Drosophila melanogaster: one gene and its partner. The protein of the gene in region 1 interacts with the protein of each later gene in a pairwise test. Each region holds a gene or a part of one and is shown in the gene's direction. Other genes may lie near its edges. The genes, in order: mon2 and spir.

What was found.
Region 2: the proteins of mon2 (region 1) and spir interact in a two-hybrid assay, tested with the Drosophila melanogaster proteins (one study listed by BioGRID).

Annotation. Positions count from the first base shown.
Region 1 is NT_033779.5:8,117,805-8,125,781, reverse strand, and holds the start of mon2 (monensin sensitivity 2), read left to right. Parts: upstream 1-1,771; 5' UTR 1,772-1,967; coding exon 1,968-2,090; intron 2,091-2,346; coding exon 2,347-2,478; intron 2,479-2,536; coding exon 2,537-3,073; intron 3,074-3,249; coding exon 3,250-3,821; intron 3,822-3,878; coding exon 3,879-4,309; intron 4,310-4,372; coding exon 4,373-5,088; intron 5,089-5,198; coding exon 5,199-5,537; intron 5,538-5,624; coding exon 5,625-6,278; intron 6,279-6,374; coding exon 6,375-6,562; intron 6,563-6,715; coding exon 6,716-6,878; intron 6,879-6,932; coding exon 6,933-7,855; intron 7,856-7,920; coding exon 7,921-7,977. Other genes in the region: CG8673 (uncharacterized protein), read right to left, coding at 61-977, 1,045-1,390. UniProt on the Drosophila melanogaster protein: May be required for traffic between late Golgi and early endosomes.
Region 2 is NT_033779.5:20,309,412-20,314,252, forward strand, and holds the start of spir (spire), read left to right. Parts: upstream 1-1,807; 5' UTR 1,808-2,408; coding exon 2,409-3,003; intron 3,004-4,841.

The DNA of each region.
Region 1 (7,977 bases):
TTTTGTTGAGCGTATATAACTATTTGTTTGTAAAAAATTGTTAAATAATTTTCATTTTCTTTATACCTGGTTATCACACTTTATGGTGTCGTCTAATAACATATTCCACAAGGTAAACTGCTCGTTATTCCTTACCATATGGATGGTAATTTTGTCGCGGATGTGGCACGTCTCGAATTTCGTCCGGGTGTTAGCCATCTCGCGCACATTTACCCGCCGGATGTTCAGACTTTCAGCCACAATGCCCGTGGTGAAGACATCTTCCAGCTTTAAGAATGCAGTATTCAGGGATTGGACATACAGAGCGTGAACAATGTCACCAGTGAGCAAGTAGGCGGGTCCGGTGGTGAAGTAGGGAAAGGTAGGCTTTCCATACTGAGCGTTGGATATGTGATATTTAGACCACCTGTTTCGAATGGGTTTCCAATTTTCGGCCCGTCGTCCGTAGATCGTTCTATTGGCTTTAAGCGTGCTAATGAGGGTCAATAACTTCGGCACGTTGATGAACATGTCATCGTCCGTCTTGAGAACGTACTTAGCCTTCGGACAGTGAAGATCAGCCCATTCCAGCAGAGAAATGGTCTTCAGAGTGAGATTGTTGTACGAGTCTATGAAGTGTCCTCTTATCAGATCCTGGTACATAAAATCCTCCTGATCAATGGCCTTCTTCACCGATTTGTTTTTGCCTTTTCCCAGGACAAATGCCATGCCCACGTCCCTTCTGCTGCCGTAGTGCATCCAAGTCTGCCGTATGGACATTCTGGCTGCCGAATGCCGAAGGGATGAGGTTATTAAAACTAACAACTGCGTCGATAACCCTTTTTGCGGACATATTCTTTCCATATCAATCTCACTGTCCAGGTGACCAGGTTTGTAGATAGTTTTCACAAGCGGCATTCGGACAGGAACTTCGGTATCTATTGAATACAATACCACTGATTTCTTTGCTAAAATATCTTTTGAGTCTAGCCCGTCATCTGTTGAAGAAAAGCAAAGTAACAACATCAATATGAGTCGACTAATGAATAATTAAATAGTTCTCACCATGGAGCTTTTCCTCATCAATTCTTCTGCTTCTAATTGCCGCAATAGAATCTGCAACATTTATATTGCCATCAATAGTTGTATAGATATCCTTGTTGCCTTCACTGCTGTTTCCTGAAATTTGAACGGCGAATCCATCGTCGAAATCTTTAATAGGCTCCCTAAAGGATCTTAGCCGTATCGCTTCGCCCACTAACTGTATTGCAGGATTTTTTGACATTACATCAGGTTTCGCTGTCGTAAAATAGTCGACTTTTTCCATTACCCCTACTTTGGAAACGTACGTGAAGACAGTAAAGCTGACAAGGATTAGTATCAGGATGCAGCGCAGCAGTCGGCCAGCCATGGCTATAAGTTAGTTCTAGTTTTCCGGGAATGTGACCGCTCTACAAGGTGGATTTGAACCAAGCACCCAAAAGTCATGTTTATAAAGTTCGCTTAAATAGGCAAAACATGAAAAGCATACTTGACAGATTATTTTTTAGTCTTATCTTATCCTTTTTGGATGTTGTATTTATGGAATTTAACGTATATGGCTTTTGGGATTAGGGCCTCATCCTGGTAAAGATACTTCTTCCTTGCCATTATCTTTATTTTCCGTTTCCGGCGACCCACAAAATTTCACCGAAACTCCTGCTCTGTTAAGGGCGCTTTTCAGGCCACTGTTGATGATGGTTCTGCTTATGTTAGTTAACATGGCCAGCTCGCGTTGCCAATCACTAGCAACTCTGCACTGTGTACGTCAGCTGTCAAAACGAATCACAATTTTTTCACGGCTTTCATTGTGCGCTGCATTATTATTGCATTTTCTCGAGTCCAAAGTGGTTGCGTAGCATATGCGTGTATCGGTCGCAGTACTTAAATGTCGCACGCATCCGGTGCAGTGAGTGTCAAGTGACCAGGAGCGAGTACAACCAGTGACCATGTCGTTTGTGGGCGGGGGCGGGTGCGGTGGCCAGGACGTGCACAAGTTTGTGGAGGCCCTGCAGGCGGATTTCAAGACCCTCTCGCTGGAGACCAAGAAGAAGTATCCTCAGATCAAGGAGGTGAGTCCTGCTGACGTGTGATTCACGGCCGTGGTTGTCTAATTGCGGCACTTATCCGCCGACACACGAGTGTGTGTCACCCAACAACCCAGTTGGGTGGTGGTGGAAGGACGTCGGTGGGCGGGGGGTGGTTTGCTCTGGTTCCACCTGTGCTTGCTCTACGCAATTATGAAATTGATAGCCAGCGCATATGAAATTGTTTTTATGACATTTCCACCTGCAAATTAACTCTCTAACGTTTCCAATTCCCAATCAGGCGTGCGAGGAGGCCATTTCCAAGCTCTGCACAGCTGGCAGCAGCCAGCAAAACTCGGTGTACTACACCGTCAACCAGATACTCTATCCGCTGGTGCAGGGATGCGAGACCAAGGACCTCAAGATCATCAAGGTAAGAGCAGCCATTTATATAGTAAATATATCTAATTGCTTTCCTATCTTTTTTCCAGTTTTGCTTAGGCATGATGCAGCGGCTCATCACCCAGCAGGTGGTGGACCAGAAGGGCGCCCTATACATCACCAACGCACTGTGGACCCTAATGGAGAACAACATCGAGGAAGTCAAAGTGCTGCAAACAGTAACTCTTTTGCTGACCACCAATACGGTGGTGCACGGCGACACATTGGCCAAGGCCTTAGTTCTGTGCTTTCGCCTGCACTACGCCAAAAATCCCACAATTGTGAATACGGCCGGTGCCACCATCCGGCAGCTGGTGTCCCTGGTGTTTGAGCGAGTGTACCTGGAGAAAGACTCGGTTTCCAGCCTCCAGCAGCAACAGTCCAGTGGTTCGCCAGCTGAGGGAGAGGGCGGAAATCAGGATGTGCAGACCTTTGCTTCGGATGCATTCCTGCTATTTCAGGATCTTGTGCAGTTGGTAAACGCGGATCAGCCCTACTGGCTGTTGGGCATGACCGAAATGACGCGCACCTTTGGTCTGGAGTTACTTGAGGCCGTGCTGACCAACTTCAGTGCCGTGTTTCACGAGGTATGTTTACAAATCGGCCTAGACGACGAATCGACTTTCAAGTCTTTCGATTTAAACAATTGTGCTGTTTCTATAGGAGTTTAGATCAGAAAATAAGCAAAAGCAAGTCTGAAATTTCAGAGTTCCAAAAGATCAGTTTTATTTATATATTAATTAAATCCTTTTTTTTTCAATAGAGTAACGACTTTCGACTGCTACTTAAGGAACGAGTCTGTGCCTTGGTCATAAAGCTCTTCTCGCCAAACGTCAAGCATCGCCAGCTGCCTGCACCAAGCAATGGAAACGCTCCTGTGCCGGCCGAGAAACCCTATTTCCCAATTAGCATGCGTTTGCTGCGCCTCGTGGCTATACTTATACAAAAATACCACACTATACTGGTAACAGAGTGTGAGATCTTTCTGTCGCTGATTATCAAGTTCTTGGATCCGGATAAGCCAGCTTGGCAGCGAGCCCTGGCCCTCGAGGTTATCCATAAGCTGGTGACGCGCTCTTCACTGATTGCATTCTTCTGCAAGTCGTACGACTTAAAAAATCATGCAACCAATATTGTGCATGACATGATTGCTGCCATGGGCAGCTACATTCGATATTCCCTGATCAATGCATCGGCCATGCTGAATGGCCAGCAGAATGGAGTCGCCAATTCACTGACAGCCATGTCGGGAAGCAATCAATGTGGCTTCATGTTTCGAGGTGCTTACCTTCCCTTGGTAGCCACATATGCGCCAGGCGTCTCAAAGGCCGTTTAGTAAGTTGAAATATCAGCTTTTTTGTATAAAATCTTATTTATAATTTTATTTTTCAGCTTGGAAATGTTGGATAAGATAGATGCATCGAATATTCCCGACAGTTATGGCATCTCGGTTGGGCATGCTATTCTACTGGATATGACTCGATCGATTGGAGGTGTCATTCAGCGAACCCCGGAGCTTCATCCCAGCCACAATACGGCAGTGATCACTGAGGAGGAGCACAAGCCACTGTGCCTCCAACTGGTGAATTCCAGCTGGTCTGCCCTGCTCAGCGCTTTTATTCCGTTGGTTGAGACGTCGATTGACGAGGCCACCACGGAGAACATCCTCAAGGCTATGCAAAATTATGCAGCTCTGTGCGGAATGCTGGAGCAACTGCAGCCCCGAGACGCCTTTATAATGGCCATGTGCCGCGCCTCCTTTCCGCCCCACTATGCCATGTCCATATTTGCCAATACCACACAGTCGGATGGTGACTTGAGATGTAAGTTCTTAATTGTATTTATTATTTATTGTGTATTTATTTATCCAAACCTATCCGTTACAGGTCACACGCGCAGTGGTAGTCAAGATCTAAGCAGCCAGTTCATCAATAGCTGTAGTGGCGATGCAGGAGACTTCCGACCCCAGATCGTAGCGGTGGGTACACCACTGCCATCGGCATCGCTGCCCCACAGCGTGATGCAAGCGCCCGTGATGCTGACTAACAAGAATCTACAGTGTATGCGAGCTATTCTTTTCCTAGCGCACAACAATGGTGGGATTTTGGGTACCTCCTGGCATATTGTGCTGCAGACGCTGCAGCATCTAGTGTGGATCTTGGGGCTGAAACCTTCTACCGGAGGCAGTCTTCAGGCCATGCCAAAGCCAGCTGTAGAGGCTAATGTGGGAATTCAAACGGCAGTGATGGCTGATCTTCCGGTCCTGTCACAAATGCTTAGCCAGCTGTTCGAGTCCAGTCAATATCTGGACGATGTAGCGCTGCATCATTTAATCGATGCATTGTGCAAGCTCTCCCACGAGGCCATGGAACTTGCTTATGCCAATCGGGAACCATCGCTTTTTGCGGTAGCCAAACTGCTAGAGACTGGCCTAGTAAACATGCCCCGCATAAAGGTATTGTGGCGACCACTTACAAATCACCTGCTGGAGGTGTGCCAACATCGACATATTCGAATGCGGGAGTGGGGCGTGGAAGCCATTACCTACCTGGTGAAGTCTGCCCTACAGTTCAAGCACAAAACGCCCCTCAAGGAGAACATGGTAAGATTACCCCTCTGTATTTCTTTAACAATTATTGTAGAACGTCACTGAAAAGTGTTTCAAAGAAATAGTACCACAACAAAATGCAAATTTACCCCTTTCACGTTTAGGAACTACAAACAATGCTGCTGAGTCCACTCTCTGAGTTGTCTACTGTCCTGCACGCAGATGTACGTCAGCGACAGCTGGATTGCGTCCTTCAGATCCTAAACACTGCAGGGGAAATCCTCTCGTTTGGCTGGCCAGCCATTATTGAGATCATTGGTGCTGTAAACGAGCACCATGGCGAGCCGTTAATTCGCACAGCATTCCAATGCCTGCAGTTGGTTATCACAGATTTCCTGACCGTAATGCCATGGCGGTGTCTGCCGCTGTGCATCAGCACTGCTGCTAAGTTCGGCTCCCAGACCCAGGAATTGAACATTTCTTTGACGGCTATCGGTCTCATGGTAAGCTATGTTATACATATTAGATAAACTGTTGCATACATAGTATTATTATTATTGAGTTACTTTAATTTTGTACTTTGATTGCAGTGGAATATTTCAGACTTCTTTAATCAAAACCAAGACAAGCTAATGTCCACTCAGCTGCAGGATGTGTCCATTCTGCCCGACTTCCCAGGCACAGTGAAGATGCCGCAGTTCGATAAGTTGTGGATGTGCTTGTACGCCAAGCTGGGCGAGCTGTGTGTGGATCTGCGTCCGGCGGTGCGTAAATCGGCCGGCCAGACGCTCTTCTCCACCATCTCCGCCCACGGCAGCCTGCTTAATCCGCCCACGTGGCAGGCGCTGGTCTGGCAGGTTCTCTTCCCGCTGCTGGACAACGTGCGTGCTCTGAGCAGCTCGGCCAGCAACGAGAAGGTGGACGCCAGTGGCAACATTCTTATCCATCACTCGCGCAACACCGCCCAAAAGCAGTGGGCAGAAACGCAGGTGCTGACTCTATCGGGCGTCTGCAGGGTGTTCAATACAAAACGGGAGCTGCTTCAGATGCTGGGTGATTTTGAGCGAGCCTGGTCACTAATTCTAGAGTTCATCCAGAATGCTGCGTTGAGCAAAAATGGTGAAGTTTCACTTGCTGCTCTGAAGTCTCTACAGGAGATCATGTACCACAACACAGCAGAGCGAACAGAGAGGGCATTGAAGGATCCTCAGACGGCACAGGAGCAGGACGAGGAAATTTGGACTGTGAGTAGTTTAGAGATTAAGATAGCTGTCAACCAAAGTGGTTGTCTTTTGTTTATTTATACTAAATGAACTTTTGTCTTTCCTACTTTTGAGCAGATTGCTTGGAACATTTGGCTTAGCATTGGCATGGAGAGCACCAAAATGTCCACATCGACGTCAGCGAAGTTGCAGCAGCAAAATAGCAATGGCGCCGAAACTCAGGAGGACTTTTACATTCCCAGTCAGGCCTTCCTCACCGCCCTGATCCAAATCTTTCCCGCCATTTTTCAGCACATTCAAGTCAAGTTAGTAGACACACCTACTTAGGAAGAACGCATTGTCATAGATTCCCCAAAAATATAATATATTTTAAATTGATCAATTTATACATTTGCTATGTTTAATATCGTTTAGCTATTTTTTTCAAAACGATTAATTTATATTTGAATTGTTTTCAGATTTACTGCCGCAGACTTTGACAAATTCTGTACGGTACTGACGAACGCTGTGTGCATTCCCGTCCAGACCGATGCGGTTCCCTACATCATGTCCACTGTGTCGGACACCCTGCTGACGCCGCTACACGATGGCATTCTCGATTGCATGGAACTAATACAGAAGGCAAGCATTTACAAGACAATCCATTATAATATATAATTAATAATCTTTGAATAGGAGGCGACAAAACCCGATTCCCACATCAGCCAGCTTATCCCTGCCATTTTCCGGCAGTTGCTGATCTTTAGTAAATTCGCTTGCGCACCGCCCACATTTCAGCAGAGTGTGGAGCACAAGTATGCGAAGTCCTCGGGACACTATGCCAACAATGCCTCCGTTGAGGTGGTCAGCATGAACTACATACCTTTCGGTGAGAAGTCAATCAGTATTTGCGTGAAGCTTTACCAGACCACGGCCACCGAGGATTCGGTTGTGCAGGAGCAGATTCTGCATGACATCGTCAAGGCTCTGCGCACGCCGCTGGCGATGAAGTACAAATGCCTTTCCTCCAGCACATGGAAGCTGGCCATTTCCAGTCTGATTAGCGTGCTGCATACTGGTCTCAAGGTGGCGCGAGCTAAGCCGCAACATTTCGCAAGCTTGTGGGACGATTTGGCCGATACCCTGGACAAGTTCCTGTTTCCGGCGAGTGTGTGCACCATCGAGGATCGCGGTCTCGAGGAGATCGTGCTGGATGAAACGATCGATTGTCAGGTTATTGAGCTGCTGAGGGACGAGGTGTTGCCTCACTCGCACGAAATGCCACACCAGTTTATCATGCAGATCGTAGTGCTGCTGAACAAGGGATCTATACACTCCGCCTCAGACACGAACATTTGCTACGAATCCGACTGGAAGCTGCGTGAGATTTTTGCCAAAACGTGTTTCGAGACCCTTCTGCAGTTCTCGCTGCTAGAGGACCATGCCAACACCAACAACAATCGTCTCAACGCCAATGTGTTGACTGCTGGGGCCGCGGGAGCAGGTGGCAAGGACTTTGCCGGCAGACTAGCAGTCACCGCCCTGTTGCATCGATTCCAAGAGGTGCTCAAACGGTTTAACGACGATGAGAGACAAAGCGGAAAGTGTCCGCTTCCAAGGTACGATTAGATTAAAAATAATCCTGGAATACTCATATGACTCATGTAAATTACTTTGTTGTCAGGTTCCGGCTATCAGAGATATCGTTTGTGCTAAAAGCCATTGCAACACTTGTGGTATC
Region 2 (4,841 bases), about 12 Mb from region 1:
CGGTCTTCCTCATTAGTTGCCGTCTTCAGTAGTTCGATGTTGAGCCTCCGGGCGCTGAGCAACTTAATCCGGCGGCCACCCCTCTTCTTTTTAGGTGGCTGCTCCCTCGCTGCAGTCCGTGCCTTGTACTCTTGTATGGTCAAGGGCTTTGGTCCCGCGGACGGATCTACCTCTATTACCTCTTTGATACTTGGCAGATCCCTTTGCTCGACAGGAGCAGGGTGTTCGAACGTCTGCTTGGTAGACATTCGCTGTTGTCATGTGCGGCGCGCCGGTGGAATCCTTTATCCTTTATCCTAATCCTACCCTCGCAGGATGCCGTGCTAATTGCTGTTGCGGCTTACAATGGTCGAGGGCAGTCGTTCATGCAGACGTCGGGTCTTTTCGGCTTGGGTGATGTTGAATTTTCAGTTATTTCTTCATTGATTATTTCTATTTTTGCTGAGTGAGTTGTGGTATTCGGCTTTCTTTGCTGGAGGTTTTCTTTCAGAAAGTCTAATTCGGCAGTTAATTTCGGTGCCGTTGCCCATGGGGGCGGTGTTTTATTTGTATATCATAGCCACTTAATATGTGCTATACCTTTATTTTTGATTTCCTGACATCCGCGTTTGCCCATTACCACACTCTACTCACTCAGTATTTTTGTTTCTTTTTTTTTTCATCAGTGTCCCGTCTCTAGGTCTCCCGCACTGGTGTAAGGGGCGGCCTGCCTCTCACACCTGTTGTCGCTGTTTAGAATTCCCAAATCAAATCGGCAATATTAGCAGCATTTCCTCAGTAGTCCTCAGATCGCAGGCTCCTGCCTCACGGTCGCCATGTAATAAACCAATATATGCCACCAATTGAGAACACGTGTTTTCCTTGCAGTTGGGTGCAGCCGTCAGGCCACCTTTTTATTTCTTCTTATCTCTTCGAGTAGCAGAAACGGTTCTGCCCGCTTAACCTCTACAGAGTGTCTAATCTTACCTAAATACTGCGACTGCGCCGCCGTCGACAGCGGCAGAAGAGCAGCGTATATATATATGTATAAGAGAGAGAGAGAGAGAGCTTATGCGCATATATGGCCAGCGGCCAGCGTGGGGATGCTGACTTAGCTTAAAGCATAAATGGGTGATCTTATATCACGCTCACTTGAGACATTTATTTATGCAATGCAACTAAGTGTTGCTGTGTACTTATAGGTACAGTGTACCCTCGATATATGCACATACTACAATATATTCTTGTAATCAATGTTTATATTATGTAAATCAGCTGTCGCTCCCCAAAAATTCCTTAATTCCAATTAGAAGACAACGAAAAAATTTCTCTTTATTTACGAATAAAAATTGTCCCTCAACTCCAATTGGAACGGCTGATCCGTCAACATTTTAGTCGGCAACACTTTAGTCTGCAACATTTGGGAATGTTGCATCATCTTGTTGCTATGCATGTTTCCACGGAAAAAGAGAGTATATCATAACAAGAGACCATTCACTTTTTTCGTTTTGAAGCAACAAATTTGAAAAGAGAAAACTTTATGTTTTTCCCGCGGGCTTGTTTGTTTTTTTTTTCTCGCTCTCCGTCGAATTGACTCTACATTTTGATGTGATCTTATTATTAGGTGAATCAGCTGTCTTCAAAAGAACAGTTTTAATTAAAAAAAAAATCCCTCAATTCCAATTCAAATTTCATTTAGAACACAACGAAGATATTTCTCTTCTTGTACGAACAAAATGCTCTCTTAACTCAAGTTGGAACGGCCGTTCCGGCAACATTTAAGTTGGTAACATTGTTGCATGCTGCATGCATTTGAGCACAAGAGTGTCATTTACGATTAGCAACTCGCGGCGAACGGACGTGTGTAAAAAATAGCCGGTGAGAAAAAACGAAGTGCGATTGCCGAAGAAAAACAGAGAGATTTCAAATAATAAAGAAATGCAAATGAAACAGAAGAAAATAAAAATAAAGCAAAGTGCGTGATTTCCATCTCCTCAGTGTTGTGAAATTTCTAGCAGAGTCTAACGGCGATTTGCGAATGCCGACTTAAGAAGTGCGAAAACAAAAACGTGACGCCAGTTTAAAATATTCTCAAGCGAAAATCATGTGTTTTTTGTTATACCCTGTGCTTTGTGTTTAATGTAGCTGACGACAAACAAAATATTAGAATCGTGTACGTCGGGAATCCGAATTCCATCCCCTCGTGTTGTGTTATTATTGTATTAAAGTTTCCTTTGCCATTTACCACACACAACACAGAAAAACAACAACAACAAAACTAAACCAAAATCGAACCAAAAACAAACCGCGAATTTTGCAGGTTAGCCCACCCGAAAGAGGCAAAAAAATCAATTATATGTTGGCCAGTGCCGGGTTTGCAGTGGAATCGGGTTGAAAGCCATCGATAGCCACACACGCCCACACACATAATGACGGAGCACCAGGCCGAGGAGCAGGCGGACACGCCGCCCACCAAGGTCAAGGCCACGCCCACACCCACCCCGAGTGGAAAGTTCAAGGACGCGAAGGAAGACGCCTTCCTGTCCACATCGCCGGACAGCGCCAACGGCGATGCCCAACACAAGCTGCCAGCGGACCAGCTGGCCATGTCCTCCAGTGCGCATCCCCAGCAGGCGGGCCAAGCCCGCCCGCTCATCCTGCAAGCCTTCCACCGCTGCTCCTCGCCAGAACAGTGCGTCACGCTGCACGACATCCTGGACTCCTTTAAGGCGCCGCTCTCCGAGGACCAGGCCTGGGCCCTGATCCACCAGTTCGCCGGGCTCTACCACCAGGTGGCCGTACAAGCGCACACCTGTGCCGCGGACTACGAGGCCGCCCTGCCCACCGGATTCGAGCTGCACTTCCATCGCGACGGCAGCGTCCACTTCTCCGGCCCGGATCAGCTGACGCCTAAGGAGCAACTGCAGCAGGAGCAGATCCCCCTCCCCCCGCAGCACGACGTGATTGTGGATCAGCCGGACCACAGCGCCAGCAGCAGCGGCGACAGCAGCGTCATCAACAGAGGTAAGCAGACCGACCTACTGAAAAATCAATATGCATACATATTTCTCACGGCTACAGTTAGCGGAAATTAATATTCCTGCAGTTTATGCCAGTTGTTTAATTAACGGAAATTAACTTAGTATGAATCTTCTATTCCTTGAATTTTTAATTTATTATTTTTTAAATCATGCTGAAAATATTTGAACTAAAATTGATCTATAGTCATAGTTATTAATGTTATAACATTTATTTATTAACGTGCTGCACACAACTGGCAATCTTTAGAATCTATATAGAAGTGGAAATGTTCAATACAACATTGATCAACTAACAATTTGGATTGATAACCTAATGAACCTGCCAACCCCAAATGACATTTTAATGTCGTTTTTCCTTACAATTATAGTAACATGTTTTAATCACAAATAATTTATTGTACATTGCACGCAAATGCAATTTGACTACCTTTAAGCTAGCAACCCGTGTATATTCTTTCGACTTTGTGTTAAGTTCTGTATCCTTTGAGCAATATTTCCTATTATTTTTTATGAGTCTTCCTAAAGATATATATATAGTTTATGTGTATTTCGGCCCGTCAGAGGTCAGTTGGGTGTTGACTTCAGATGCGGAACTGTAACAGTGATGAAAACTGGGGCTGTGATTAGCTGGGCCGGAAAACCGGTTGCGCTGATGCCTCTCCGAATGCTGAGGGGTCTTTGTCTTTTCGGCAAACGCTTTCATTTTCAGTTAATAAGCCACAGTTAACTTCTTTCTCTCGGCCTTTTATTTTCGGACATCTGCCGTGATGTGGGTTTCCGTGTGCCATCCATCTGACTATTGGCATCGCCCGGCCATCGCCAGCGGAGTCCCCAGCGCTTTCCAAACAAACAACCCACACTATCCGCCATCCGATGATGACCTCTGCATTTAAGTTATGCAGCCAGCCAGCTTTGATTGGGGTTTTCCCCACTTCTGCCTTCTGTCTGATTGCGTGCTGGCTTGGGAAAGTGTAAACGGCGACTCCCATGAAGAAGGTACCATCCCAGTACCCTATCAGCAGTGTTTTTCACTTTCTTTTGTAGCTCGGAGAGCACAAGTATCACTGGAAGAAAGGCAGGTCATGTTCGGATTGGGCAGAAGATTGAACGCTTTTCCTTGCCGCAATACAATCGAATCCAAATCTACGAAAGTAGATTTTTTCCAGTGTAACGATCACAGCCTTTCCTTTCGGCATTCCCCCTGCATTCGCTGTAATTGATGGGGGGATACTTTTTCGCCTCTCGATCTCTGAATCTACAGAACGTGTCTGAGTCTGTCTCGCAGCTAATTGTTTAATCATTCGTCTGCGCGGGGACTGTCAAAATACAGGTCGGTAATCTATCGACTTTTAGATAAGCCACGTTAATTGGAAAATGCGTTTCTGAGTGGGTAGTGATGGGAATCTTGGATTTCGTTCTCCTAGGTGGCCCTTAATGTGACTCAGCTCAGCTTTTGGTCTGCAGCATTAACTGCATTCCATTGCATCTTTCTTCGTATGGGCCTGTCTATCTCTATTTGGCCAGGCCAACTCTGCCTATAGCCGGCTTTTGTATCAGCGTGGCCAATTAGTTAGCTCTTATAGACAATTAGCCAGTTACATGGGTAATCTTAAGGGCACGCAGATACAGGAAGTTACAGTATTAATTGAACTGTGTAACTCGGAGGTGAAGGAACTATAGATGGCTGATAATGCTGTAGGAAGTCCTAGGGGATTTTAAAACCCATTTCAGTATACTACTTAAAATTCAGAAATTTTCTTTTATAAATAACTTAAAAAATGTTCTTAGCTCTTAAACCTCTGTAATTAAAGGTCTGTGATC